3 linked regions of the Daphnia pulex genome follow. The protein of the gene in region 1 purifies or fractionates together with the protein of each later gene. This does not show direct contact. Links are inferred from orthologs where the notes say so. Each region holds a gene or a part of one and is shown on either strand. Other genes may lie near its edges. The genes, in order: cullin-3-A-like, BTB/POZ domain-containing protein KCTD5-like and ring canal kelch homolog.

Region 1 (10,118 bases):
ACATAGCGACTATATGAAAAAAAATTATTTTAACGAAACTGTTCTCAACTTATGTGACAGAATGACTCTTACCTTCCTCCAGGAGCAATAAATTGACCGCCTTGCTGCTTCAAGTCCAGACCAGCAAACTGAAAGAAAAGTCACAAGAACAGAACATGAGTATGGTGAGGTAGATGACTCATAATCAAAGAAATAGTACACAAAAAGTTAAGCCGACATAGATTTTACTGTATCAAAAAATATATAATTACTTGCTGCTCTAGACCCGTTCCATTCTGAATCTGTACACTACTCATAGTACGCTTGCAGATATCGAATAAAAGCTTCCTTTTTCCGCGATGCGAAAAAACCTTGCAACACTTCTCGTCTCACAAAGAAAAGTATGGCAGCAGGAAGCGCAGTGGTGCCACCTACGAATAACGGCGATTTTTTCCAGCCATCTTAGCCACTCCCTAAATACTCTATTTTCATTTTTTATCTTAATATTACTTTATGTAATGAAAACTTATATAAGCTAAATACTGAAGAAAAACCATAGTTTTTAATAATGAAAATCGTGTATAATATGCAATATACAATTTTCAAAAGTTAAAATTTGATTATAATGCAACGCATTCAGCGATGCACTTAGTAGCTACAAAAACAAAATGAATAGAGTAAAGGTCTTATGTACTCGATAATTCGTATGATACAATAGTAAAGCATTCATAAGTAAAATGAATTTAAGAACATAGCCGGTGAGATTGAATTCAACTTCGCTAGCTCTTTCTTCCTAGCGCTATTTTTTGTTATGAAGTAAGCCAACTACATGTACAATTTGAAAAATGTCGTGTTATTTCATTCTAAATTATTTTCAATTCTGTAACTCAGTTACAAGACGATAAGAACGGACTTTTAAATTAAATTTGAAGAAGTTTAGTTAATGTGTTTAAGGATTCAACTTAATATCGATGCGTAATTGAATCGATCCTCGATGAAGGAAGGCAACGTAGCCAGCTCCATCTGTCTTCTTCTAGCTCTCGTTGGAAAGGTTGCGGCATTTTGGTGAGTAAAATTTGTTTCTGAATCCAAGTAAATGTTAAACATCTATTTCTAGACATTGCGAGAAAGAATTCTAAAAGATTCGTCTTGCTCTCAACTCGTTGATCGCATTGAAATAATATAGGTTGTCTTTTTTAATTTGACAGGCTGAATTTACTTCGCCGCTTGTAACCTTCAACATATAAAACCAAGATGGGTCGTGTTATTCGTGCCCAACGTAAAGGTGCCGGAGGTATTTTCAAGTCCCATACGAAGCATCGTAAGGGAGCACCCAAGTTTCGCCCTGAAGATTTCGCTGAACGTCATGGATACATCAAGGGAGTCGTCAAGGTATGTTTCTTGGATCAGAAATGAGTTTGACAATGTGGGGGGAAAGCAGTGATGTAAACATATAATCCAATGCTGAGGGGCTATGATATTCATTCATCTAGAGGTTGTTTCTGAGAACTCTATTTAACTTGAAACTTTTACTGTCAGTTCTGACAAGTGGTTAACGAAAAACATTTTCTAAATTAGGATATCATCCATGATCCTGGTCGTGGAGCTCCCCTAGCTGTGGTCCACTTCCGTGACCCCTACAGGTACAAGACCAGGAAAGAGAACTTCTTGGCTGTTGAGGGCATGTACACTGGTCAATTCATCTACTGCGGCAAGAAAGGTATGCATAACACCTTGGTTTTTAAAATATGGGAACACAGTGATGTAAACTTAATATCCAATGCTGAGGGTCTATGATAATCATTCATCTAGAGGTTGTTTCTGAGAAAATTAAATACTTTTATTTTTAGTGTTTGTCTGAAAGGAAAAGAGTAAATTTGTTTTTTATCTTAATACAGCTACCCTCCAGATTGGCAATGTTTTACCTGTTGGCACCATGCCTGAAGGTACTATTGTCTGCAACGTTGAGGAGCAACACGGTGACCGAGGTACCCTTGCCCGTACATCTGGTAACTACGCCACCGTTATTGGACACAACACTGACACGAAAAAGACCCGTGTCAAGCTGCCTTCTGGAGCTAAGAAAGTCGTTTCTTCCAGCAACCGTGCCATGGTTGGTAAGTTGAATTCGAAAAACGCGTTATAAATACTTGGGCTATGATGAAATGCAATTCATCCATCTATGAGAATAATGATCTTTAACTAGAGGCTGTTACTGAGCAGATCAAAATATTATTAGTCTTGATCTTTTCAAGACCAATTCTTAATCACTTTCTGTTTTCTCGGTAGGTATTGTTGCTGGTGGTGGACGTATCGACAAGCCCATCTTGAAGGCTGGACGTGCCTACCATAAGTACAAGGCTAAGCGTAACTGCTGGCCAATTGTCAGAGGTGTAGCCATGAACCCCGTTGAGCATCCCCACGGAGGTGGTAACCATCAACACATTGGTAAAGCTTCCACCGTCAAGAGGAGTACTCCTGCTGGTCGCAAAGTTGGTCTTATCGCTGCCAGGCGAACTGGTCGTATTCGTGGTGGCAAAGTTGAAATTAAGGGTGATGATTAAACATGTTGTCATCTTGTACCTCCTACCAATACACGTCGGAGCAGACCAAAATATTTTGTTAAATTTCATTCGCATCTGATACATTACATTCGTTGAAAGAAAAATACTGAAGTCAAACGTTAAGTTATGTTGTATTCATTCATCCAATTTAAGAGTTGGTTCATAGTTCTTATTGAAACTTAACTTGAGGACAAGAGTACAAGACATGTTTTTCCAATAGCGAAAAACTTTATTTACAAAAATCATCGCGCAGCAAACCAATGTCTTATCGAAAATTCAGTTAGGCAATTGGGAAAACCAGTTTAATTTTAAGGAAGCAAACTCGAATTAAACTAGGCCACATATGTATACACTTTCCTATAAAAATATGTAAAAAATTTTTTTAGCTCAAGTCTTTTTGATAAAATAAAATGTTTCTTATAGCACCTGTCCTCAGGAGTGCGAGCCAAGTATTCACGTTCAATTAAGCCTTCAATTCGTTTCTTAATAATAACTGGCGAAGGCAGAAACCGGCTTTTCAATTGTTCAGTAACTTCGCTTACCAACAAGTTGTGCTAATAACAATAAAAGTCAGCGACCCATCCCATTTCAAATTTTACGGTGTAGTTTACCTGCATAGATTTTCTTGCTTTCATAATGCGTACAATGGCTGCTTCAATTTCGTGTTTTCGGTCTTCGTCGACCTTGGAACGCGTCTCTTTTCTTTCAGGCTCTGATTCTCCCTTGGCTGCGACTGTCTGGATCTTCACTCTGCAATTCAATATTGTTGGTCGTCAAATAATAAATTTTCTAGATCAATTGTAAAACAAACCTGTGGAGTTTTGACGTGAAACTATCGTTGACGGCAAAGATAGAACTCGGGAGGATGTCTTTACCCTTGGGACTTTTGACAAGAACGCGTTGAGTCGGTTTGCCCATCGCAAGCGATTGCAATGCACGATCCAGATCTTTTTTCGGAACGTCAGTTTCATTCATGATATCCTATAAACAGCATCAAATATGATGAATAAGAAATCATTAAGTTCTACGTGCTCTTACTTCGTAAGTTAGCCTATCTCGGGTGTTAAACAGCATAAGAATACACATCTGATAGGTTGAAACGGAGATTATGTGTTTTCGCGGTCCATTAGCTGATGACGAGGGTGTTGACGAGCTGGGGCCATCACTTCATGGAATCAATCGAAACATTCGATAAGATATGCTCAGTATATAGAGACAACATATAAATGTTCTTACGTTTTTTCTTTTGTCTCAGACTCCTCTCGTCTAGGTCCATAAAAGATTGCGCTCAGATCAGCCGACCCTAGAGCGGGTTGTAGCGTCAACTGTCGCCCACTGTGCTTTGCTAAATAAAATCGGCGAAAGACCTCAAAAGCGTTGCGTGGTGCCAATGGTAGTGTACAAGTAGCTGACGATTGTGTTGGCCAGAATCCAGTTGTTAGTACGCGAACACTCAAGTCCACTCCGTAAAGGGAGGTCTAATCAATAATCGATGGTTGGAAGGCCGTTTTATAATTGCATTTTTTTACTGGATATTTCTTACCCCAGAAGTTTGAATGTGATTTTTGAAGTCTTCCATGAGCATGTTGGAGATAGACATATCCTTGAACATGCCCTCTAATTTCGAGGTAAATTGACACCCACATTCAGTCTAACAAAGTAATTAAAATGTTAGTACGAGCTCAATAAATTGGAAATGAATAAATTACCTTCAGCTTAGAAATCATGTTCTTCTCGCTATCATCGCTAACAGATTTGTTCAGCAGCAGGCGCTTGGCCAAATGTTGTTTATAATAACGCTCGAAAATATCCTTTTCCTGGAGAAAACGGAACAAAACCATGGTTTTGTCGAGCACCAGTTCTATGTCCTGCTCTGTCATTCCTTTAACGCCCTTCTTGAGCTTGTCATCGATAAAGAGTGATAGATATTCGGGAGATTTCAAATTCAAATTAAGAAAATATTCAAAATCTGAAGAGATCATTTTCTTAAAGATTGGATCGTTTACGAAGGATTTTCCCAGAAATGTATCATAGCGATCCTTAAGATCTAATAGACTCTATAGTGTCATTAGAAATCAAAATGAAAGAAATCATTATTACAGAGAGAAAAAAAGGTAAATTTTAATAAAAATACCTGGACAAAATTCAATGCATTGGCACCGGATTCGTCGACATTAACCAGTGCTTTGCCTTCTTCTCGTAAATGCGCGCTGACACAACTAGCCATGGTTCGCAAACCATCCGCTACACGACCCAACAACTTGTACATACAGTGTAAGTCGTCAGTTTTCTGGCATTTTAACATGTGTACTACACCAGAATTTTCCATCTAGTGTGAAAACAAGAATTATTTTTCTGTATAGCATTTTTTAAAACACACTAATCTAAGTTTTACACACCTCAACAATCGTTTTCATGTGTTTCTGTATAAGTTCCTCTTCAACTACTGCAACAATACGCTGCTCGGTCGACTCATCCAAATAATGTTTGGCTCTTTCCGATTCTTCATTAATGCGCGCCTCGACTTTCTTTATGTAAACTGAAGCTGAATTCTCCCCTAAAAACCGCTGACTCTCAGACTGTGAAAGCAAAGTAAAAAAATAATTAAATAAATTGTAGAAAAATTAACAACCAAGTTTTTGTACCCTGTAGAATTCTGCAGATTGAGAAAGAAAAGGTCTTTCAAAATCCTCTTCATAGACAGCTCGACTGTCTATACCCAGCACCATGAGCATTTGACAAGCTGCTCTAACAGAAAGCTTATCTGCAACTTCTCCTTTACGCTCTCTGACAACCATTTCCAAAAGAATATGCCTTAGGTGGTCACGAATGCCTCCATAACGAACAACCTTATAGAAAGTTCAATTAAAATCAAATCCAACAATAAACTATTGAATTAGGCACTTACTTGATCACGAAAAATAATCAATCCAAGATTGTAAACATTATCAACATTATTTTGTTGAACATAAACTCTGTCCATGTACATGAGGATGTCACGAATCATAACCATAGATGTTTGATGATCACTCCATGCTTGATTTAGAATGTGAAGGAAATTGTTGTTCAAGGAAGAAAGCACATCTTGACGAACCTATGTGAAAGTGATCAGGCAAAATCTTTAGTAAAATTGAAAATTTTTTGAGCAAGAAAGATATTACTTTAGATTCTAAATGATGAGTAACAACTTCTCTAAGGCCATTGTACAATCTCTCTCCATGTTTGTGTAGAACCATTGTGTATGCATTTCGGTAAAGTTCTTCAAAACTAAGACCAGAGTTATTCTTCTTCTGAATTTCTTGAATGGCATTCTTCAGTAAACTCCAAATATTTTCCACATACCTCTCGTCCATCGTCATCTTTATTGAGAAAAACAAGAAAACAATAACAAAGATATTCTAATGCCAGAATGAAGTGTTATAATAAACTTTACAGGGAATGCACGAATTCGCATTTTTCCTTCTTTCTTTGAACCGCCGCCGAGACCACCTTTCATCATCGTGAAACTCACTCAAATTTAAATAACGAAACGAAAAAAATACAAGTATCGGCCAAATATTGATAGTTCCGAAACCTTTAAAACGTTTCCATCAAACTAGTTGGCCCCCCTTGTAAGCAAAAAAAACAGGGCAACCTAAAGGCTAACCTCTCTTTCCTTCTCTTCCTCAGAAAACTCAACGTTGTATTTTGCCATCTAGCGGCTAAATTGAAACACATCCATCTGAAGGACAATGAAAAATGGAAATCACCTCCACGCATTTTTTATTCTTTTTAAAATACGCATCGACATTGGCCACTCGCAAGAAAAAGACTTTATTAAATATCATTGATAAAAAAATTATTCGTTTGTTTCATTTCCGTTCAAAAAATGCTCATAATAATAGCTAGGGTTAAGGGTTGGCAGAAAATTGTGTTGAATATTTAAAAAAAAGGCACTAAAAGTAAAAAGTCACATTCACTGGAGAACTCGTAATGAATTATGCGCTTTGAGTCAGACAGTAGCATGCTCCTTGCTAATTTTACTAATATAAATGTATTTATGCATATCTGTGCCTGCCACAGCGCCGTGCGCATTGTCGTATTCTTAGGGAAATCTTAGCTCTTATCTCTTATTAAAAAAGAAAGGACTTAGGAAGGACTTACATAATTCGTTGTAATCTCGGATTCAAATTCTCTCAGCTTCGTTTCATTGAAACCCAATATCGCAAATAAATTAAGAAGGATTTATGCTTAGCCACCACGACAACGTCCAAAGACTTATTTATATTCTGAATAAACTATTATATAAGGAAAGCTATAATCAGGAGCTTTGTTTAACTTTAGCCAGTTTACTGTTGTTTTAAAACCAAGAATATCCATAGACTAGAGGTTTTTATTTACTAAAATGGAATGAAGAATGGAGGATGGGGGAAAAAGTGTTAGATTGTCATTCATGTTCTTATACAAAGCACTTGTGTAGGTAAACATCCGATCGCTTCCAGTAGTTTCCACTACTTTTTAAAGGAATCATCATATCTACAAAGGCTAAAGACTCAAACAAGATGTAACAATTAACACCACACCACACAGCACACATTATGAATCCAAGCTTAGTTGGGGGCTAGCCATATTCAGATGGTTATCAATCATCTGAAAAAGTTCAGGGGGTTGAGGAACTCTACCAGTTTCCATTTTAGACCAAAGTGGAACATCTGTAACAAAAATAATGATAAGTAGGTAAGTTAATAGGGAAGTAATGAATTCAATGAAATCTCACCATTTAATGTGATTTCAAATGCTCCAGTTGAAATTAATTGGCCCTCAACAGCATTGCATAGAAAGAAAGTCATCAAGCACGCATAAAATTTGTTCTGCTGAGTCCACTCCCAAACTGAGGGAGTTTGCACACCTAAATGCTCAAAAATATTGGTTCCCGACACCACTACAAGGATGAGCAGTATTTTCAAAATTCCCTGAAACAAGCAATTATATCATGATAAAGAAGGGAGTTTGTTAACTGTATGTTTAAAACAGACATACCAAAATAGATGCAATCTTTTGGTTTAAATAGGGTGGAGGATGGTTCTCTCCTTCGATTGCCAAAGATGGGTATTTCTGTTGCAGAATTACAGCATACTGCTCAAATACCTTGCGGTAACCTCAGGAAGAACTGTTAAAGTTGATTATTAATTTATGAACATGAATAACAGAAAAATTCACATTATTTTTACCAAAAGGTGAACTTTATTGAAGGCCCAGCGAATCGATTAAAATGCAAGCTTGGAATTTCTTTAGATTGCACCGAATTTTCTTCTGGCTGCACATCAGCCGGGAGAAAAAAATCTTTCATTGCAAATGCAATGAGTAGAACTCCCAAGCCAATAATTGGCGCACGACTTCGATCAGCCATTTTTTTTAGCTGAAAGAAAAGAGTTTCTTTTATTAAAAGATGATTCGCTTCGTTATAAGACCATAATCCCACTGATTGAATGTATGACTGCCACACGCTGATTAGGCTCTCGTTGTCGTAACTCGCACTAACTTGCTAGTCATTGTGTCAATAAAATACCGGACGACCAGTGGAACGTCGTAACGGCGGCGCGTGGTAAGTAGTGACATCTATAATTTTGGTTTGCATCCATAATTAAATTTCACGCAATAGTAAATAACGCATAAAAGTCAGCTTTTAATGTATGTAGAAAGTTTTGTGTGGCTAAATAAACAGAGAAAATAATGGTGTTAGTTTCTATAAATCGTCCTTGTCGCCCTGTCCATCAATTTAAAGGTTTTTAAGTTGCGCTTTTCTCATTAGCCAATAACCGGTCAGCTGCTCGTGTGCCAAAAAATTGGTGTCGTTGATAATATGTTTGATAGATTGAAAACGGGCGCTTGCCGGTTGGGTCTCGAGATGGTATAGGATAGTGACACAGTTGATTTATGGACATTAATGGACCAATATTGAAGATTAGCGGTCTTGTTCAATATAGGCTAAGCTGTAAGTAAAGTGAATAATTAATGCGTCAAACAAAATGAGTTTTCAACGTCGTGCTTATTTCTATCAAAATTCAAATTTAGCGAAAAAGTCTGCGCTGATTCTCATCACCTCAAGTAAGTCAATAATCTTTCGTGTTCCGAATCTTCCGTGCTCTAACAGAATCAAAGGCTTATTACTATAATAATTACCAGTGAATATCATTCAATTTTAAATAACTTTTCATTACATTTATCGTCTACTATACCGAATTTTTGAAACACTCAGTATGCTTGTCATTTGGAGTAGCCGCGCCACCGCCGAAACCATCGTTGCCTAACAATTTAGAAGATCATAGAATCAGTGAAAAACCATTCACAATCAATTGTATAAGTCACGATACCAGCTTCACTTGTCCGATAAATTTCAATCTGGAAATCAAGGTAAAAAAAAATAACACTAAGACTCTTTCAAAAAAGAACCTGCGTTATTGTCTAGCTTGATCATTACAAACAGAATAAATCCCACAACGGTCGTTTTTTGGTTAGCATTAAAAAAATTAATGGTATCTTCAATGTCAACTTGGCAGTACAAAAAGGAAGCTATTTAAACACGGGGTCGTATAGTTGCCGAACAAAGACGTCAAATCATTACATTTACATTTTAGTTGAAGGTATAAAATATTCCTTTACTATACTTAAAATGTATTATATCCTTGATTGACTCAGAAGTAAGCAGAGACACTTATTTTGTTAGATCCGTATCATTTGTTTCCAACCATGAAACCTGTTTACCAAATTGATGGGGTTGAATCCGTAATTCCGTGCAAGCCGACACATCCGGTCGTCAGGATTCAGTTACTCCAAAAGATTTTCCTGAAAAACACGACGGACTTGAACACGGTAAGTTCATCTTCAAACATCATCTGATATTCAGCGGCACTTTCGTCCTAAACAGCTAATCGAAAGTTTAAGTGGAACAAAAACATCGTGTTGTTGTTCGTGAAATGTGTAACCTGTTGCATGTTTTTCGGCACTCAGACGAGGATCGTCTGCCCGCCTAAGGAAAAGCAGGATGCCAAAGATAAGAATGACCGAATTTCGACACATGATGCGCTTCAGGGATTCCGTTTATTGGACCCAGCTCAAATAGCGAATGTTGAGGGTATCTATGAATGTCGGGCGGAAAAACGATCATTTAACGTGTCAGAAATTCAATGGGGTGTACGATTTAAAATCATCCCCTGTCCAGACGACGGTATAAACGAACCTATTTTGTATATTGTATCAAATCCTTCCCAACCTATCTGAGCAATCTACTTTTATTTTTAGAACGACCTCCCGCAACAGAATCGGAAACGGGCAATTTTCAATTTTCGACGTCGTTTATTCTTTCTTCAACAATTGCATTTCTTGGATTTATTACTCTGTTTAGCTTGGCGATAGTTCTGATCAAGGTGCAATAAAGAATTTTTTCTTATTCAAATTAAATCAAACATTTTACGGGAAAATTAATAACATTTAATGAATTAAAGATTAAATTAGAATCGCGAGAAAAAGAAACGGCTGAAGACCCTCGCTGGGAATTCCCTCGATGTCGTTTGAAATTACGTAAGTGAAATTGTA
Region 2 (9,245 bases), on another chromosome or scaffold:
TTTCATTCTCTACCAATTTCAGTCAGCCGAGAGAAGCGATACGTCAGTAAATGCAGGAATATGATTTATTTAAAAAAAAAATACAGTTACCCAGTCTGCTTACGTAGCTTTGTGTATTCACTGTCAGAAAACCATCTTCTTTTGGAATTTTGTGTTCCCGTTAATTCCCCGCATACTCACAAATATGTGAAATTGGGCAACGCAGGCGCGTTGCTCAGCTTGTTTATTTACCTTATATTTGGGGCGTCCCTAAACTGCGAAAGCGAAACGCGAAACGCGAAACGCCTAAAATGCGGAAAAGCTGTGCGAAACGGACCAAAATTTTGGGACCGTTTCGCGGGACCAAATGCCGGAGGGCATACTAAAGAGCGAAACATCTTGCGAAACAAAAAGTTTTCCTTTTCTCCACAGAGGTCCAAATTGACGGAGATTGCCGCCATTTTTCATTGTCTCCCGCTATGATGAGGCATTAAAGGAGGAAGGGGGGCAATCAAATTCGATTTCTTCGCCACTACCCCTGTATGTTTTAATGCACATTTTACGATTATTAAACTAATGAAAGACATAGAGCAGCACGTTATGGTGATATTTTTAAATAATAAAATATTAGGTAATGCATACATTACATTAAATGATTTAAATCAACCAGTAGGTACGTGCACAAAGAAATAATCGATCATAACAGTATGAGTGCCTTATATCAAGCTAAAAATCAAAGCTACCATGTTCCAAATCAAGCTAAAATTTAATCAACTAAATAAACTTCCCTTAAAATTAAGAATGATAATCTGATTGATACTGATACATGGAAACGAGAAGTTCCATTAATTTTTTTATACCAATCTTCTAATTAAAAACACCTATTGCATATTGCATTCAAGGTATTCCGTATTCATGGTCAACACACAAATAGACAGCCATAAGGTGCGCGAAACTCGAAGTCTCGAAAATTTGAAACTCTTAACAATTTGTTTGTTGACGCCTTGACGGCGTCCATTGTCGTCTGCTACCAAGACGTTTACACTGCGACGTTTCGCAAACACCGATTTCGCAGTTTAGTACGGACCCAAAGACTAAAATGCGAAACAAGGTCTCAACTTTTGGGTCCGTTTCGCACAGCTGTTTCGCATTTTAGGCGTTTCGCGTTTCGCGTTTCGCTTTCGCAGTTTAGGGACGCCCTTATATTTGTATGATCCAATCAGTCATACTCAAATCATTTTGATTTGACAGTGTTCAATAAATTATCATTTTAAAACACTATTTTAGTATGGAGATACAATTCACAGGAAAGACAGCTTTGGTTACTGGTGCAGGGCAAGGTAGGCAATTGGTCGTAGCACCCATTATGGCTATAAAAGTCTTAATCGCCTTTTCAACCCCACTACTATTTATTAAGGAATTGGAAGAGCCATTGCAAAACGATTGTTTGAACATGGAGCTAAAGTTTATGCGTTATCGAAGACGTCTGAAAATTTAAGAAAATTACAAGAGGAAGCTCCTGGAATCCTTACCATTATTGTAGACCTTGAAGACTGGGAGGCAACTCAAAAAGCTGTCAAAGATCTGGGTCACATTGATTTGTTGGTCAATAATGCTGGAGTTGCAATCTTGGAGTCCTTTTTGGATATCAAGAGTGAAAGTTTTGATAAGTATGCAGTACACAAACCTGTTACGTAATGTAGAATACCTATCTAACTATCATTGTATTTAAAGGGTCTTCAATGTCAATCTTAAAGCTGTTGTCAATGTTTCTCAAACAGTAGTAAAGCAAATGATTGCTGATAAAACAGGCGGATCAATTGTAAATGTGTCATCACAGGTATTTGTGAATCCAAATGGATGCATGCTGCCTTATTAAATCTCCACGGAAATCAAATTAAAAATTTTAATTTTTGTAGGCTTCCCAGGCAGCTTTAAGAGATCATGCTATTTACTGTAGCACTAAGTCTGCTCTTGACATGCTATCAAAAGTAATGGCTCTTGAGTTAGGGCAACATAAAGTAAGGATACATTTATTCATTTTTTATTTGGAAATTTATTCATGTAGATTTCTGCAACAGATTCGAGTAAACTGTGTGAATCCGACAGTTGTGCTTACGGAAATGGGAAAAATGGTAAGATGAAGAGAAATCATATAGATATTTGATGACCAATTGAATGAATTTAAAACATCTGATTTTAGGGTTGGTCAGATCCCTTAAAGTCAGGTCCTATGCTTGCTGGAATCCCCTTGGGTAGATTTGCAGGTATATTCCATTATGCGATACTGAATTTAGTATAACTCTTTACTACTTCTGCTTACCTTATTTTATTATGCAGAGGTCGAAGAAATAGTGGATGCAGTTGTATTTCTTCTTAGCGATAGAGCTTCCATGATTCACGGAACGACTCTTCCGGTTGATGGGGGATTTTTGGCGTGTTGAAACTTGAAACGAAGATTGAACATGCGTTTCAACTTTTTTTCAAATCTGGGGTAATGTAATGTTAATAAAAGACTATCAAATTTTTGCAATTTAAATAATAATAATAATACATTCCGTTGATTATTGTTTTTTCCGGAAGACTTTTTAATCGCGGTTAAAAGTTTAAACTGAAAACCAGACCGCAGACTAAGAGCTATCACTGTGGCAGAACTGCAAAATAACAAAATCTAGTGAGTAAACGTCCCATAAGTAAAAGAACCAACGATGGTTATGTCAGAGCTCTGGTTTTGTCGGTTTTATTTGATTTTTCCGTTTTTGAAACGAGAAATGTTGGAAAACGTTTTCGTGGCAACGTTGGACTGACGACTATTTATAAACAGTTCGAGAATCAGTGTTTTGCTAAGTTTCTGTCTTGTTTGTTTAAGTTTATTGACAACTTACTGACTCTAATGAAATGATCGTCAATCAGCAGGAAAATACTGTGGATGCCTGTGCATACAATTTACGTGACGGAGGTACTAGCGTCGATATTACTTCTCTTCTTCAAGGTACGAAACGTGAACGCTTTTTTGTTCGTTCGTTCATAACGCCTTATAAGGCAAACTCTTGTGTGTCTGTCATACCGAACATAGCAATGTACATTTGTTTATATTACGAATTTCAAGTAATATTGAAAAATTTCATGGCAGTCGCGAGAATTCTAGCCGGATACTGAACCCCTTTAGACGCTAGGGAATTCAGATGACAAAAACATCTCTAATGTTTTTTACTTTTTACATTTGTCAACCTTTATGCAGATTTTGGTGGTATTCAGTTTACATGAGCCTTGTTTTTAAATACTCTATTTTGTTTGCATTCAGTTGATCTGATTGCCAAAGGAATATTCCAGAATGTGGATTGTCTGGGTCTACTCAACGCACGTTCCGTCTCTACCGCATGGCAAGAGGCAGTCGACAATGCAAGAGTTTGGAAAATTGTTCTTGATAAAGACGTAAAATTTTACTTGCTCCAAATCATATAGGTTTTCCTTCAATTCTAATTAAGGTTTCACTAGGTAAATTGGAAGAAAATGTACAAAGTCTTGATTAAGAAAGGTTTCGCAACCGAGACGACAGAGGATGACAACTATTCAGAATTTTACCTTGATCTCTATCGAAATATCCGGGATAATTTGAAGGTTTGGACATTGGATAACCCGTAAATAAGTATCAATTTTAACACCAATTTTTAATTCAATTAGTCTCTGGAGAAAAACTGGATAACAAAGACGGCCTATCAACGGGTAAAAAAATTGCCTTATGCAGGATTTGTAGAGCATCTAAATTTCAAAGTAAAACTGAGCGACCAGTACATCGTAACACGTCAAAGTCCCCAGACGATCGAGATCTTTAATAGATGGACTTTGCAGTCGGAAAGTGTAATAACTGAAACTTCATTTGTAAATTCCATACATTTAGAGCTGAATATTGATTGAATATTAGATTTTCGATATTGGAGTCGATAGTCACAGAGCTATGATGAAATCTATCGATTTGACTAGCGAATATCTTGCTCTTGGATGCAATCGTGGAAAAATCTTCGTATTTTGTATGAAAACAAAAGAATTGGTAAGAGGACTTTTAATTTTGATCATTTCCACAATAATAAGAACAGTGGTGAATGCGGAAGCTTCACAAACTTATAGACGATCCAGCCTTATTAAACTGTGAAAGCTTCGCTCAGGACGTCATGGCAAGCAGGGTGGATTGCAGTTACTTGCGGTTTAGTCCATCAGGAAAAACGCTGTTGTCGTGTATTACCAACGTAACTTAACATAATTCTAATTTACTGTTGTGAGTGAATCATTAATGTATTTCAATTTACACTTATAGAACAGTTGTCAGTACGAAACCCTCTCGTTGCGGAAGATAATATCGCCCCGAGAGTGGAAAATAACGCACCAACAGACTATTCACCAGTTTAATGTGCGCCGAGTTCAAATGGATGACTCCTATATTTACCTACAAGGTGGCAATAATAAAGGGATTCAAGTTCGATCAGCAAGTTCGCTTGAACTGATTAATACCATCGCCGAATCCGAAGCTTTTATTAAAAGTTTTCAACCCTACGATCGGTGGATTATTATTGCTGGCCGTGAACAAATCAGGTAAGATTCGCGCAAAAGCGTAATTGCTACCTGTTATTCATACGCTACTCTCTTACTCTCTTTTCCTTTAGTTTATGGGACATCGAACTTGGAACATGCATTCGACAATGCCAAATGAATCAAACCGATGGAGATATCAAAACCATTGGGTAATGTTTTGTTGTTTCTTTCTAACGAATCAACACTAAAATTATCATTTTTTTTTTACAGGCTGGTAGGCGAAAAATACATAATTAGTTGCCACGTGAATTGTTGGTCTTCCGACTTTTTCCTGTTAGGGGTGAACGTTTGGGATCTTGAGTCGTTAATCAATTCTCAAAAAGAAACATTGAAGCCAACTTTTACGTTTAGCGTATCGACTCAATCTTGGCACGAAGCAAGCGTTGATGGTATTCGGGACACGTCGGTGGAAAAGCTAAAAGTTTTTGTCGATGATTATCAGATTGGATGCCTTGTTACATGGGATTTTGACTATGAGAGGCGTGAAGTGCCAGTACCAATGTTGTATTTCATGGACTTTACTAATCATTTTGAAACCTAAGCTTCAAATCGAATATTTTGCTATTCTATTTTTAAAATGTATTATCTTTAAATTTTGTTTAAATGTTTTGTTTCAAATTCAATTAAAAAAATTAAAAAAAGAAAATTATTCATTCATTCATTTCAACCCAATTGAAGGAGACTCCTCTAGATGGCACCACGGCTGCTTCGATAATCGATTATCTTTATCGATTCAAAGTTGTATATTTTCGCATTTTTGTGCGTCGAATTTTTATTTAGTGAAACCAAATGTTAATGAACGATTTGAATCTGTGAAACTCGCTATTTTAGTCCTATACTGGTAGGTGATTCTTTTGTGCAAATCGTGACTGAGAGTGTAAGAATAGAATTGTTGATGACTTTTAGTCACAATCCATATGCTGGTTAGCAGTCGATAACAACGGTTCTTTATTGTTTGAAAAAAGTTGTTTGAACGCGACTAATTGATTTTTTAAAATGTATTTTAGAGATGGCTGAATGTCCGGAGATGAACGGGATTGCAAATAACATCGTTTCAGAAAAGTGGGTTGGCAGCAGAAAGTCTGAATGGATACGTTTGAATGTGGGGGGTCACCACTTCCTTACCACCCGAACAACCCTTTGCAGAGATCCAAAGTCTTTTTTCTTCAGACTCTGTCAAGAAGACAACAATCTTGCCTCAGATAAAGTATTACTTTATATAACCTCAATTTTAACTTGAAAATTATGCTCTTTATTTTAAACTAGGATGAAACAGGTGCCTTCATGATTGATCGGGACCCTACTTATTTTTCACCAATATTAAACTTCTTGAGACATAGCAAACTAGTTATTGATAAAAACTTGGCTGAAGAAGGAATCCTAGAGGAAGCTGAATTCTATAATATTACTGAACTCATCCAGTTAATTAGAGATAAAATAAGACTAAGAGATGAGGTACCACAGAAGGAAAGTAGGAAGCAAGTTTACCGTGTATTACAGTGTCATGAGGATGAATTAACTCAAATGGTTTCAACTATGTCTGATGGATGGAAATTTGAGCAGGTGTGTACACACAAGACAATCTTATTAGTTACTACAGACTATTTATTCTAATCTTTTTTTTATATAGCTAATAAATGTTGGGTCACAGTACTCTTATGGGAATGAAGACCATTCAGAATTCCTGTGTGTTGTATCAAGAGAGTGTGACAAGAGAGAAAGAGAAACAGAGCCTACTGATAGAGCCAAAGTAAGTATCTGCAATTTACTATTGATGGAAGCATTTAAAAATGTTGTTTCTTTATTTAGGTGCTTCAGCAGAAAGGGTTAAGAATGTAATAAGCTATGGGATTTTTGTACCAGGAACCAAATACTGAACTAAATTTATGCAGAGAACCAGCCTTGTGGGATTTTATCCACGTTGCAGCCATTTTGACACTTCTTGTTCACAAGTGTTGCTTTTTATTCACAAGTGCAATACAACTCTGCTTCACAGCTTCATTAAATTTTAGGAGATCCAAATTTGTATTATAAAAAAATGTTCATGATGCTGCTACTTGACGAAGAGGAGAATCAAGATAGTCTGCCAATGCCTTTGCTTTAGCATGAAGCATTCCAAAACACACATTTTCTTTAGCATAGAGACATAGAAGTAAATTAGCAACTTGGGCAATCACCACTTTCCCATCCTTTAAAGGCATTGGCAAAATTAATATTTGTGTTTACTAAACTTTAAATTGAATAATACCATGCAATCAAGAAGAACACATTCCAGGACATCTTCATTGAAGGCAACTTTCCCATTTTTAGCATATGCTGACCAAATGTTGCTAGCTATCGCTGCTGTCACTCGTGCATCCTTGTCCCCATAACCACTTGAAAGCCACAAAATTGTTTAAACACTATAAACAAATGTAAAACATTTTAACACATTTTGCTCACCTGTAAGCTAGCAACGCCCCCTCCGTATTTAAAAGCCTGCATAACAAATTAAGATAATAAATAAATAAAAATAACTAACAATCGTTAACTATTTTAAGGTATCACGCCATATTACAAAGTGCTTAAGATTCCGCCAGTGTTTGCTTGAGACAAGACTTGAGTAAGAGCTTTTGGTTTTAACATTCTTTAGATTTGTTGGTATCTTCTGTTTTGACACAAGCTGAGTCAGGGCTGAGTACAGCTGTTCAGTGTTCACTACTCCTCTTAGTCTCTTACTAAAAAAAAAAAAAACAAATGAATGCGGATGTTTCCTACATAACCAGGCCAGGCTGACAATCTCTTCTTCAGGCAGCGGCAGCGGCAGCGCCCCTTCCGTTGACCAGGGAATTTTTTCTCACTCAATCTTGTCAAATTCTTCTGCTGTAGGTGGCCTTAATGTATTCATTTCAGATTGGTCCAAAGGTGAATTTCGCGCCCGATTATTTTGACTTTGGTGTTTAATTACAATCATGATTACAATGAACTAAAGTTGCTTCTTGAAGTCAGAAATCATGCCGCCTCAAAAACCTTTGACTCATTTTTTTAAACCTCTTCAAAGTGGAGGTGTGAAGCGTACATTCTCAGAACTTGTGTCTGGCAATAAGACAGCTGAAGCCAAGAATGTTCAAATTGAAAACAAAGTAGGTTTTTTTGTTCTGTGTATACATGCCTGGTATTTTTTGTAAAGTCTATTCATTTTTAGCCTGTTGGAGAAAAATCTGGTGAGAAGACTGAAGTAGTTACTCCTGAAAAAAAAGAAAGAATGGGCACTAACCACTTGTTAGCGAAAATAAAATTGCAAGCGAAGAATACTTGTGCCTTACACCATAGTATTGGTCATTCATGGTTTCAAGCAATTGAGCCAGAGTTTAAGAAACCCTACTTTGGTGAAGTATGTACATGTTTCTTTTTTTTTAACTTTGAATAACAATTATTTTCATTTACCTACATTATTTTGTTTTTAGCTTAGTAAATTTCTGGGTTCTGAAAGATCAAAGTCCACCATTTTCCCTCCAGAACATCTTGTGTGGTCTTGGACCCATTTCTGTGATATTCAAAATATCAAAGTTGTTATTATTGGTCAAGATCCATATCACGGTCCTGGTCAAGCTCATGGTATAGTAAAAAATAATTACTTTTATGGCTTTTAAGATAAAGAATTGACATTACATTTTTGTTTCATAAAAAGGTTTGTGTTTCAGTGTTTTGAAAGGAGTTCCTCCTCCCCCAAGGTAATATTTAAAATTTTTACTTTAAAAACTACTGTGTCTAATTTTTGCAAAACTATTTGAAGTTTGGTAAACATCTTTAAAGAGCTGGCTTCAGATATTGATGGTTTTAATATTCCTAAACATGGTAATCTCACTGGATGGGCCAAACAAGGTAGACATTTAAACAAAATCAATCACAGTTTAACGTTTGTCTTAATCTTCAAATAAGAGTCACGTAAAATTGTTATATTGATATTTCACATATTTAGGTGTGCTCCTTCTTAACGCTGGCTTAACGGTCCGATCGGGCGCAGCAAATTCGCACAAAGACAAAGGCTGGGAAACTCTGACGGATGCCGTGATCCAGTGGATTAGCAGTAACTGCCAAGGTGTTGTCTTCCTTCTTTGGGGTGCATATGCCCAGAAGAAAGCTTTAGTAGTAGACAAGGTAACCAATTCATTTGTTTACGACTTCATGCTTAATTAATGTTTTTTTTTCTTTTCTTTTTTTGTAGAAAAAACACCACTTGCTGAATGCCCCTCATCCTTCTCCACTATCTGCTCATCGCGGATTCTTAGGATGTAAACATTTTTCAAAATGTAATGAACTTTTGCTCAAGCAAAACAAAACACCAGTTGACTGGTCTAAACTCCCCATTGAGTGAACAGTCAAACCTCAGGTTATAACAGTTTTTACATTCACTCTTGCCTCAAATGTTTTCAACCATGATATTCATGTTTCAAAACGCGATTCACAATGCATCTTAAACCAAGAGCAATACTAATTTTACATTTAAAAAAAAAACAATTTGTTAATTGCTGATGGATCTTCAGTAATTTTCTATTGCCAACAACAATTATGGATATGCTGATACTAGAAAGTTTTGCTGGCATTTTTTAGTCGCAGCGCAATGCATTTATGTATTTAAGAAAAACTTGTATTCTTTGAAGAATGAACCTTGAAAATAAGAATTAGGAAACCAA
Region 3 (10,147 bases), on another chromosome or scaffold:
AAACAACCAAAAAATGACGCGAGTAAATAAATAAAACTGAATTTTTGCTTCTTTCATAGTCATTGAAATAATAAAAGAGTCGACAGCCCCGAATAAAGAGCTTAGATATATACCCCCTCCACACACACATGGGTGTATATATATAGCTCCTACACGTCACAGCGAGATTGAAGCGAAATAATGCAACTGTGTGTGTTTGGAAGGAGGAATAGTTGGTAGTAGTAGTAGTTGTGTCTTGATATGTCTGTAAAAGAGTTTCGGGTTAGAGTGTATAGAGAGTCGCGGTTGTTGTTGTTGCTATGGCCCCCGGAAACACGTAGCAAAGATTTCCAGTGCTGCTGCTGCTACGTAGTAGTACATGCCAACCCTCGAAATGTTTCACAGACGGAAATGCTTTACACGTTTCTCTTACTTCACCCCCCTCTCACTCACTCACTTTTTTTTACTCCAGCCCAGGACGGGAGGGGGTTGGTTGCGTGTGAATACAAACCTGTTCCCTGGGCAAAAAGAGAGGGGGGGGGGGGGGGAGAAAAGAAAGTTGAAGCAACTTCTTTTTTTGTGGGTGCTATACGCGAATACCGTCGCAAACAGGAAATAAAAAAAAACAGTTAAAACGTATAGGAGAAAAAGAAAAAAGACTTAAAAACTTTTTGTTTGTTTGCAGCCGCTTCTGGTATACAATAAGGAGCTGGCTGCTCTATGATATCAGGATGCTACTCCTGACTCCTGGAACTTATTTCCTTCTTTCTCTCGTTGTCAAGGAAGAACAGAGGGGGAGAAAAAAGAAACCGGAAAGCTTCACAGTTTCTTTTTTTTTCTTCTCTTTTACGAGGGAAAATAAAAAACTTCTTTCGCCGACTGCTGGCAGAATGGTGATCTAACTGCAACGTTGACATACCCAAGAGGTAGTACCGGGTGTGATGCATTGCGGCTTCCTTCCTCTCTCTCTCTCTTGTCAGTGCGAAAAGAATGACAAAACATCCATCATGATATCCAGTATAGAAAAGCATCCAAATACTTTCATCTTTTTTTTTATTTCTTCTACAAGAATTGTCGTTGGTATATCAACCTGCAGCATCCAGTATTTTTCACTATAAAATAAATTCCTTTTTTCTATTTGTTTTGTTTTTGGGAGAGACATTTTCACTCTGGAACGAAACAAAAAGGGACGGATGGTTACGCACGATTCTGGACGGATATGTACGTGTTGTTTTTTAAGTAACATCACACTCTTTGAAAAAGAAAAAATGCTGAATTGTCAAATGGTGTGCAAAAAGGTATAACTAACTACCAGATCAGCCGCTTAAAGGCACTGTGTGCTGAGAAAATGTTTACGATGGGAAATAATTCACATAAAGAAAGGGAAATATGAGACCTTGTGAGGCTACCATGCAAAGTATCTCATGAATATGGAGAGGCACAACGGCAGGATCATTGCAGAAAGGGTTGTGGAGATATGACTGCTGCCGTTGCAACCATCTTGAGCGCAGTAGCATTCCTCCCAGTAGACACCATTCTCCTTCACTCCCCAATTACACACACCTGTCACACCTGTGTCGGCCACAGATGCACAGCGACGGATGACCTGTCTCCAGCGTCCATCCCCTGAGATAGACAAAAAATTATGTTTAAAATTCTTCAGCATTAAATTGGGTGGTTGATCTTGGTCTTACAGACAAAGCTTCGGGGACCCTGCTGCGTGATTTTTACACAGAACGTTCCTGGTGTAACAGATTCATCGCTGTTGCAGTCTACAGGTATACTTTTTCTGGTGTCAAACAATTTGTAGGCCCCGCAATTGTCTTGCCCTTTGGCATCTTGGCTGGAAGAACACTGGTGACATTTGATGGAAAAACCTGTGGAGAAATAAAAACGACATTGTGTGCTCAATTCAGGTAAACAACATGGAGTGTCGATTTCATACCTGATTGGACGAATAAGGTGATGACGAACAACTGAATCAACACAATTTGGGCAGCCATTGAAAAATTCAAGTGAGATTCACTTGCAGATTTTAAAAAGGTATATTTGATATTATTTAAATAATTTGCATTTATAAAAAGGTGATCAAAAAAACGCCACCGCCCAAAACAATTCTGTTGAGGAACTTTCAAGATACACGGTTGCCACGTTCATCTAGAGTCGATGAAAATTGAATTTATTTAAAAAAAAAACATTTAAAAAAAATATAATTTTAGCTTTAAAAAAAGATAAAGAAAGAAATCTCTTTTACACGATTTTATTTTTCATAATACGATCACAGTGAAATTCAATACATCAATGAATCGAGGTGCGTGTCAGTCTGTCAGATATAAAACAGGGAAATATTTCGTTTCCTTGTGTGGAAAGGCCAATAAAGCAAAGAAAATAATAAATCAGCGACTTAAAAACAATCGTTTATTTTCTACATGTGTGTAGTCGTTTTCATTTCACTGATAAAAAGGCACTTTATGGACGGCGTAAAAATTCAGGCGGTTGGACGGCTTGAATGGAATGAATAAAATGGCTTGAGATTCATATTACTATGATGTGGAGATAAATCAGATAGATTACACACATTACAACCTGTTGAGGTGGTATAGGGCTAAAACTGAGGAAACAGAACCTAACATCATGAGATTCAAAGGTAGCATTGAGCTGGCGGCATTACATCCATCCTTGCTGTTGCAGGTACAGCTTTCAATGTGAATGTTGAATGTCCCTGATCTTTGAAGGCAGTAACGTTCATCTCCACCGATACCAGGCTCTCCAAGCCTGGCACAAGAGCGAATGTATCTCCACTCTCCATTCACCTTCTGACGGATTTTTCTGCACATGGTGGCCTTCACACCTGGTAGGTGAGTTACTTCAGGGAAGGTGGCACAGTCGAAAAAGGGTGTGGATGTGTTGTCAAACGGATCAGCACATTTGGGATCTTCCAAGGATCTGCATACCCAGCATTTGATACCAGTACCTAAAAGAAATAAAAGAAAACAGGTTAGCTTCAAAATTCTTCGTTTAAGATCGTAAGCATTTTTGTATTTTTAAGACGCTGGAAAACGTCAAAACAAGCACACGTTCAAATCGCTCTACAGTGGTTTCGGTGACATTTTATAAACACGGCAAAATCAAAATTTCAATTGCTTGATTTTTTAAATAGTAAACAAATGATATACCTTCTCTGATAGCAAATAAATAAAATATAACAATGCTGGCGAACACGCCCAAGGATCGAATCGGTGCCATTTCTTAAATTTTTATTCAAGACAGGTGAGACAGCGTTGCGATGTCAAGTCACGTCAAGTAATGGCTTCATATATTAACCGCCAGGTGGCACTACTTTCCGACAGCCATTTCAAAAATATGAGAAACCGTTCAAGTGCAAAAAAATATTCTTTTACGTCATCTTCCAATTATTTTTGAATTGCTTTCAATAACATATTGCTTTATCGATTTTCTAAACAGAAAATGAAAAATGTTGCGTAAGCAAATCAAACCTGCTCCGAAGGCCGAAGCCTGTGCTGTGTGCTGGGAGAAGCGGAAGCCATAAAGAACGGCCTTGAAATTAGTGTCGACTGCTTTAGCGCACAACGGAAAACCAAACCAGCAAAACAAACCAAAACAAGTCGTTGATTGAGCCAAATTGTGTGCGCGACGCTTGATATTGATCAAGAAAAGTGACGAAATTGTGTCATCTAGTCTTGAATATTACCTCCATATTGTGTGTTGTCTTTAAACCTAGCTGATGTTGGTCGTCTAATTTGATCTGCCCGCTATGTCGACTAGTTCTAATAGTTCGTCTTCTAGGGATTTTACAGATCATCTAAATGTCCAGTATGTTTTACAACTTTTCATTTGTAAGGCTTAAAATATGGTTTCTTATTATTAATCATGTTCCCGTCTTTTTTTAGCAAGCTTCTCCTACGCCATGCCAGTCAAAACTCTCTCGATGAAAGCTCTCAGAAAGAATCTGCCCAGTCTTCTCCTGAGAGGCCATCTTATCGCAATTCAGATCACTTTTCAAAATCATTTGCGAAATTCAACATGATGAGAAAGTATGCTCTTCTTCCCTTCTCAATGCTCAAACATGAAGTAACACTTCCTTTCTTTATTGTTTATGAACAGAGACAAATTTCTTTGTGATGTTGTCCTTATAACCACAAATCAAGAAGAATTCCCTGCTCATAGAGCAGTTTTAGCTTCTTGCAGTCCTTACTTTCATGCAATGTTTAGTTGCTTTGAAGAAAGTAATCAGAACAGAATTGTTCTCCAAGATGTGGATCCCAAGGCCCTTGGACTCCTGCTAGAATATGTTTATTCTTCTGAAATTCAAGTCAATGAAGATAATGTTCAGGTTAAAAAAAATTAATTGTTTTAGCTTTACAATAAAAAAGCAACTCCAATAAGTTATTTGTGCAGATCTTGCTGCCGGCCGCGAATCTTTTGCAAATGTTTGATGTCAAAGAAGCTTGTAGTGAATTTCTTGTCACTCAATTGCATCCCTCCAACTGTCTTGGAATCCGAGCGTTCGCTGATCTCCATGGCTGCATAGATCTATTGAATTTAGCTGACAAATATACTTCCCAACACTTTAGGTACTACTGCAAATAATTTTCCCAATTATTAGAAACTTGACATTTAATTCAAAATTTGGTGATTGGTTGCAGTGACGTAGTAGACGGAGAAGAATTCACCAGTCTAAACTGCCAAGATGTGATACGTATTATTAGTAGTGACAAGTTGACAGTACCTTCGGAAGAAAAGGTTTAAAATTTCATTGAAAGTGTGCTGTTGTTTTGTCCTAAAATTATTTTTATTCTTAAGGTATACGAAGCTGTCATGAACTGGGTGAATGCCGACATCGCTAGTAGAAATTCAGAATTACCTGCCCTTATGGAATATGTTCGTCTTCCCCTCCTCTCCCAAGACTACCTTTTGCAACATGTCGAGACCAACACTTTGATGCGATCCAATGCTCATTGTAAGCATCCGTGAATAAGTTGAAAATTTTAAGACAACTTTATTAAAATAACTATTTCATAGGCAAAGATTTGTTGATTGAAGCTCTTAAGTATCATCTGCTCAAAGCTGATCAAAAGCGGATTTATCAAACTTCTAGAACTCGTCCAAGATTACCAATCGGCTTGCCGAAAGTATTTTGATTTAATTTTACTTTTATCAAACCTCGGCGAATTTTAATTTTGAATACTTTTTAGCTTCTTCTCGTCGTTGGTGGCCAAAGTCCGAAAGCAATTCGCGGAGTTGAGTGCTACGATTTCGAAACCGAGAAATGGAATCAATTGGCGGAAATGCCCACTAGACGTTGCAGGTAAATATCTTCAACTTCTACGAACAAAACAAATGTTGATTGCGTTCTCTTTTCTTACATCAGAGCGGGTTTGGCATCTGTTTGTGGACGCATTTATGCAATTGGTGGATTCAACGGATCCCTACGAGTGCGCACAGTTGATCTCTATGAGCCAAATTTGGATCAGTGGTTTCCAGCTCCTGACATGGAGACGCGCAGATCTACCTTGGGTGTCGCCGTTTTGAATAATTTCATCTATGCTGTAAGCTTCAAGAAAAATCAACTTTTGTGCGGATTCCTTTGATCGTGGTTCGTTGTTACCCCAGGTCGGAGGATTTGATGGATCGACTGGCCTGATGTCTGCTGAGAAATTCGACCCGGCAACGCAAGAATGGCGTGCAATAGCTTCCATGAATACAAGGCGCAGCAGCGTTGGCGTCGGTGTTTTGAATGGTCTCTTGTATGCGGTAAATATGCAGAACAAAAACCCGTGTAGATAAGAGTTGACTAAGTCTAGCATTTGGTTTTAAGGTTGGTGGATACGATGGGGCTTCGAGGCATTGCCTGTCATCGGTTGAATGCTACAACACTGAAACCGATTCTTGGAACTTAGTTGGGGAAATGGTACAGTATTAAAACGCATATTCCGTTCGGATGGAGACGTTTTAATAATGGATTATGTAATTATGGTCAGGCCTGCCGACGTAGCGGAGCTGGTGTGGGGGTATTGAACGGCTTTCTCTATGCCATTGGTGGTCACGATGGACCCATGGTTCGACGTTCAGTTGAAAAATTCGATTCTGCAACGAAATCGTGGACATCTGCAGCGGATATGTCGCTGTGTCGGAGAAATGCGGGTAAGATTCATACTCATAATCATTTCTAAGCATTTCAATTATTGTGTGTTTCATTTCCTTTAATAGGTGTGGTGACTCACGATGGTCTAATCTACGTCGTTGGAGGTGATGATGGAACGACAAATTTAAACTCGGTCGAAGTTTACGACCCCACAGCCAATACTTGGTCAATGTTACCTGCATGTATGGGTATCGGACGCAGTTATGCTGGAATAGCCATCATTAACCGGCCTTCATGAATGTTCAAGAAAAAGAGCTCTTGTCCTAAATTTTTCATTATGTTCATTTTTAATTCGCCAATCATGTTGGGACAGCAGTGCGGCTGCCTTTTCTATCGCTGCTTTTAGATCCATACGATGTTCGAATGGTAATCTCGTAATTTTTTTATTATTTATGTTGCCAAAAATCCTAGGGTTTGGGGTTGTCTTGCAAAACAAACACTACCTACTTTCGATGTGAAACAATCGAATAAAAAAAACATCGCGTACATTAACGAATTATTTTTGTGTTCCTTGTATCCAACCGTACGAAAAATAGTTTTTGAATACATCGTGGTTATTCAAGTTTCGTGTTTTTATATCAAAACTCTTCTTTTAATATACCTAGGATTTATTAGTTATCCTTATTTTATGTTTAAGTTGAGAATTGAGAATAACGAAAACAAAAAACCATCTAAATTCTAAACCTCGTTTTTTCTTATTTTTTAAAATCAGTCATAGATGTCGCTATAAAGCCCGCATTTTCCCAAGCAATCAAGTTCATGTCCAATAGATGGCGTTAAGAGACATCCGGCCTTTTTAGCCATTGGGCTGTACGAATGAACGTAGACAAATGGCGGCTGTGTAGGTCAGTGGAGAGTCTGTCGTCGTTGCAATACACCCAAAAGGCTATCATAAGTCCCCATTTTTGGATCAAAGAAAAGTCTCGTTAATTTAAGAAGCTCGCCGGCGATCAAAAACGGCCGTTTGGCTCATGTATTCGACAATTGCCTACTTTGTTGAAGATGCAGAATGTGGTACAGAATTCTGCTTCTGAAAGTGTAGGGAACTGCGTGAAACAGCACGAGGTCGGGCATCGTGCATTGGCCAACCCAGCAGCAGCTACAGCCCCTGCGACGTCCGCTGCCAGTGCAAAGCCGAGCAAGCCTAGCAAAGGCAATTCCGTCCCGAAGAGCAATCACATCGCGGGCAGAAGCAACAACCACCCAACATCAACTCATCATCATCATCAACCTCCACCACCCAATCTGAATCACAAGACTGTTACTGTGACAGACCTAGCCAACTCTTGTTCAACAGCCCTAGCTACTGAGATAGCTATCCAACAAGTCAAGCAGAGTCGGTCATACCAACAGCAATTTATGCCTGACTCTTCTGACAGTGACAGTGACGACGTCCTTTCGGTAAGTAGCTTCCTGAAAGGCATAGGATTACTTTTTTTCTCTCAGCTCACCAATCTAGGAAACAACTCCCCAGTTCCAGTGGAATCTTATCAATCAAAATGTCCCCCTGGTTTAGTTCCATCCTGTGTTGGTCAGCCCTACATCAACATATCGGCATCAGTACAAATGCTTATTGTGTTTGCGATGCTTAGATTTAGTTAAATCATCCTTTCTTTTGAGCTTTAAATAGGACTCCCCCTCTGAAAGCTTGCAAAGTTATTCTTCCTGACTTACTTCACTGCTGCTCTACTTCCTTGAGAGAGCCATGATTCAAAAGTTTTTTGCTTATTTAGAGCATCATTTAATTTGGCTGTTTTCATCAGACTGTCAAGGAACAGTCGTCGTTTGACACCAGAGGATTTTATCGTATCTACAGCTTGTTTATGCCGTGTCATCTTTCGGCGTTTGGCGTGGGGTTTGGTCAGGGTTCAAGCGGTCTTCGTTCTCATTGATGATGGCAAATCAGATGGATGGACTTGGGGGACAACTAGAGGTTGAAAGAGAAAGAGGGAGGGGGGCCTTTTTGAAGGGATTTGGCCAAAAAGAATGTGTAGAGGGAAAAAAAGGGAGGCAAAAGATTATGTAGGGGGAATACGGTGGGGGAGCGTCGAAGCCCTTTCTTTGGGATTCCGGTGGGCCGTTGCCCCCTTGATTTGCAAAATGTTTTTGTACTGGTGTAGTACCTTCTTTTCCAAAATGTGAAGCTTATGTTAGTTGGCCCCCTTGGTAAAGTGGCGGAATAGTTCCGCCTTCAAACTATGGAAAACATGTCAAGTAGAAGGGAAAGTAAATCACCAAATTGAAATGCGGAGCACTGTCCCAGTTTTGTCCAAATCGTTCCAGCTAGACCCGACTCGGCTGTCATTCCAAAGTTTTTATTTTTTTATTTTTTAAAGTTACTTGTCCCGACTTTAGTTGCAACACGACCAGCACCTGTTGTCAAGTCTGAAAGGAACGAAGGACCCTGCCGTTATTTAAAGCAATCTTTGGTGTGTCTGGGGTACCCATTTTGGCTCTGCTTTTGGAATAACCGAAATCCGCCCGATGGCGATTGAAATAACTAGAAACCCAGGGGTTCGCTTGCCAAATGTAAAGAAGGGAATCGAATAATATTACCACCTCCATCATCCGTTTTCTGTCGTTAAGTTTTCGTCAGTGCGACTGTCGTTCCTTCGTTGTTTGTGTCATTGTGAAAATGGGAATTGACCTGTAGGTGGAATCTTTTTTTGTGGAGGAGTCGGAAGTGGAGGGCTGTGCGGACGACTGCCGATGCCCCTCGTCTTCGGCCTCGTCGCTGGACGCGCCGCGATTCCTTCTAGCCGCCGCTGCTGCCGCTCAACACGACGGACACAGCATTGGCGAACTACCCCGCATCGATCCAGACACTCAGGCCAGGATTGAAGCTCTCCTCGAGGCTGCAGGTAAAAACTTTAAAAGAAATTCAGAAATTTCAATAAATATTCCTAATCTTTTCGTGTATTATCTTTACAAAATTACCAGGAATTGGAAAACTGACTGGAGGAGACAGCAAACGGCTCGGCGATCAAGAAGTTCTCAGTCGGTTAACATCCAGTGTATCGTGTGCACTGGACGAGGCCGCCGCTGCACTAACCCGCATGCGATCCGAAAACTCTAGCAATTTCCATCAAGAAGCCCGGTAAGCAAGAACTTCTTTTATTGGCCGTCTATCTCCTGTGAAAGGTCACACATGACGATAGCTAGATTTCAGCCAGTGAATCGTTGTTGGCGAACTTTACCCATCCAAGTCTAAACATTTATTCACTGAGGTTGACTGATAAAAGTGTGAACCCTTCACAATTTTATCACTCAGAGAAGGATGCAGTTGAAATGAGCTGATTAATCGGGTTGAAGTCATTGAATTTGTATCCCTTATTTCTTGGCTATCAGTGGGGGTCATGTTCTATTAGAACTAATCCATAATATTGTTAAATTTGATGCAATGAGAATGGTTCTTTATCATCCATTTGTCTTGTTTATTACAGGTCGTTAGTGGAAGCCTGCACTGACGGCGACGTCTCAGCCGTACGGCGTTTGCTAGACGAAGGACGTAGTGTACACGAAACCACGGAGGAAGGCGAGTCATTGCTTTCGCTGGCCTGTTCGGCCGGCTACTACGAATTGGCGCAGGTGTTGCTTGCCATGCGGGCCAACGTAGAAGATCGTGGCGTCAAGGGCGACTGTACGCCACTGATGGAGGCGGCGTCGGCTGGTAACGCGGATATTGTCCGCCTGCTGTTGGAACACGGCGCCGAAGTCAACGCCCAGTCGTCATCGGGCAACACGCCGTTAATGTACGCCTGCGCTGGTGGCCACGAAGAGGTAGTTACCCTCCTACTGGAAGCCAACGCTAACGTGGAGGACCATAATGAGAATGGCCATACCCCGCTGATGGAAGCTGCCTCCGCCGGTCACGTTGGCGTGGCCAAGATCCTTTTGAACCACGGCGCCGGCATCAACACCCACTCGAACGAGTTCAAAGAGTCTGCCCTGACGCTGGCCTGTTACAAGGGTCACTTAGAGATGGTCCGTTTCCTCCTAGAA

What was found.
Region 2: the proteins of cullin-3-A-like (region 1) and BTB/POZ domain-containing protein KCTD5-like purify together in Drosophila melanogaster (affinity purification with western blotting; 4 studies listed by BioGRID, with this or other methods). This does not show direct contact. The link is inferred for Daphnia pulex from reciprocal best matches to the Drosophila melanogaster genes Cul3 and inc.
Region 3: the proteins of cullin-3-A-like (region 1) and ring canal kelch homolog purify together in Drosophila melanogaster (affinity purification with western blotting; 3 studies listed by BioGRID). This does not show direct contact. The link is inferred for Daphnia pulex from reciprocal best matches to the Drosophila melanogaster genes Cul3 and kel.

What each region holds. Positions count from the first base shown.
Region 1 is NC_060026.1:11,978,424-11,988,541, forward strand, and holds cullin-3-A-like, read right to left. Parts: upstream 6,221-10,118; 5' UTR 6,043-6,220; coding exon 5,977-6,042; intron 5,903-5,976; coding exon 5,705-5,902; intron 5,638-5,704; coding exon 5,452-5,637; intron 5,393-5,451; coding exon 5,189-5,392; intron 5,123-5,188; coding exon 4,943-5,122; intron 4,873-4,942; coding exon 4,678-4,872; intron 4,601-4,677; coding exon 4,253-4,600; intron 4,195-4,252; coding exon 4,087-4,194; intron 4,022-4,086; coding exon 3,780-4,021; intron 3,709-3,779; coding exon 3,582-3,708; intron 3,525-3,581; coding exon 3,355-3,524; intron 3,294-3,354; coding exon 3,155-3,293; intron 3,098-3,154; coding exon 2,970-3,097; intron 2,901-2,969; coding exon 2,876-2,900; 3' UTR 2,656-2,875; downstream 1-2,655. Other genes in the region: ATP-dependent RNA helicase DDX3X-like, read right to left, coding at 1-9, 73-128, 252-296; 60S ribosomal protein L8, read left to right, coding at 1,234-1,371, 1,558-1,699, 1,878-2,096, 2,269-2,543; fibroblast growth factor receptor 4-like, read left to right, coding at 8,552-8,630, 8,782-8,936, 9,010-9,166, 9,250-9,395, 9,534-9,750, 9,825-9,949, 10,028-10,103.
Region 2 is NC_060023.1:11,049,851-11,059,095, reverse strand, and holds BTB/POZ domain-containing protein KCTD5-like, read left to right. Parts: upstream 1-5,261; 5' UTR 5,262-5,410; exon of another isoform or gene 5,411-5,512; intron 5,513-5,576; 5' UTR 5,577-5,578; coding exon 5,579-5,776; intron 5,777-5,835; coding exon 5,836-6,132; intron 6,133-6,199; coding exon 6,200-6,319; intron 6,320-6,378; coding exon 6,379-6,408; 3' UTR 6,409-6,575; downstream 6,576-9,245. Other genes in the region: uncharacterized protein LOC124197753, read left to right, coding at 1-64; L-xylulose reductase-like, read left to right, coding at 1,268-1,319, 1,397-1,649, 1,714-1,819, 1,899-2,000, 2,061-2,114, 2,183-2,246, 2,320-2,423; beta-TrCP-like, read left to right, coding at 3,493-3,600, 3,664-3,840, 3,905-4,030, 4,092-4,226, 4,295-4,569, 4,641-4,718, 4,780-5,110; ragulator complex protein LAMTOR2-like, read right to left, coding at 6,612-6,758, 6,818-6,944, 7,012-7,047, 7,127-7,194; uracil-DNA glycosylase-like, read left to right, coding at 7,563-7,691, 7,754-7,942, 8,016-8,166, 8,240-8,282, 8,345-8,433, 8,531-8,709, 8,777-8,926.
Region 3 is NC_060028.1:8,913,908-8,924,054, reverse strand, and holds ring canal kelch homolog, read left to right. Parts: upstream 1-3,472; 5' UTR 3,473-3,754; coding exon 3,755-3,813; intron 3,814-3,890; coding exon 3,891-4,034; intron 4,035-4,104; coding exon 4,105-4,333; intron 4,334-4,398; coding exon 4,399-4,574; intron 4,575-4,646; coding exon 4,647-4,743; intron 4,744-4,803; coding exon 4,804-4,960; intron 4,961-5,022; coding exon 5,023-5,132; intron 5,133-5,195; coding exon 5,196-5,308; intron 5,309-5,371; coding exon 5,372-5,549; intron 5,550-5,613; coding exon 5,614-5,754; intron 5,755-5,818; coding exon 5,819-5,911; intron 5,912-5,981; coding exon 5,982-6,144; intron 6,145-6,210; coding exon 6,211-6,383; 3' UTR 6,384-6,708; downstream 6,709-10,147. Other genes in the region: uncharacterized protein LOC124209561, read right to left, coding at 1,385-1,605, 1,674-1,856, 1,925-1,982; uncharacterized protein LOC124209560, read right to left, coding at 2,559-2,953, 3,156-3,225; ankyrin repeat domain-containing protein 17-like, read left to right, coding at 7,148-7,546, 8,799-9,006, 9,086-9,242, 9,589-10,147. UniProt on the Drosophila melanogaster protein: Component of ring canals that regulates the flow of cytoplasm between cells. May be involved in the regulation of cytoplasm flow from nurse cells to the oocyte during oogenesis. Binds actin.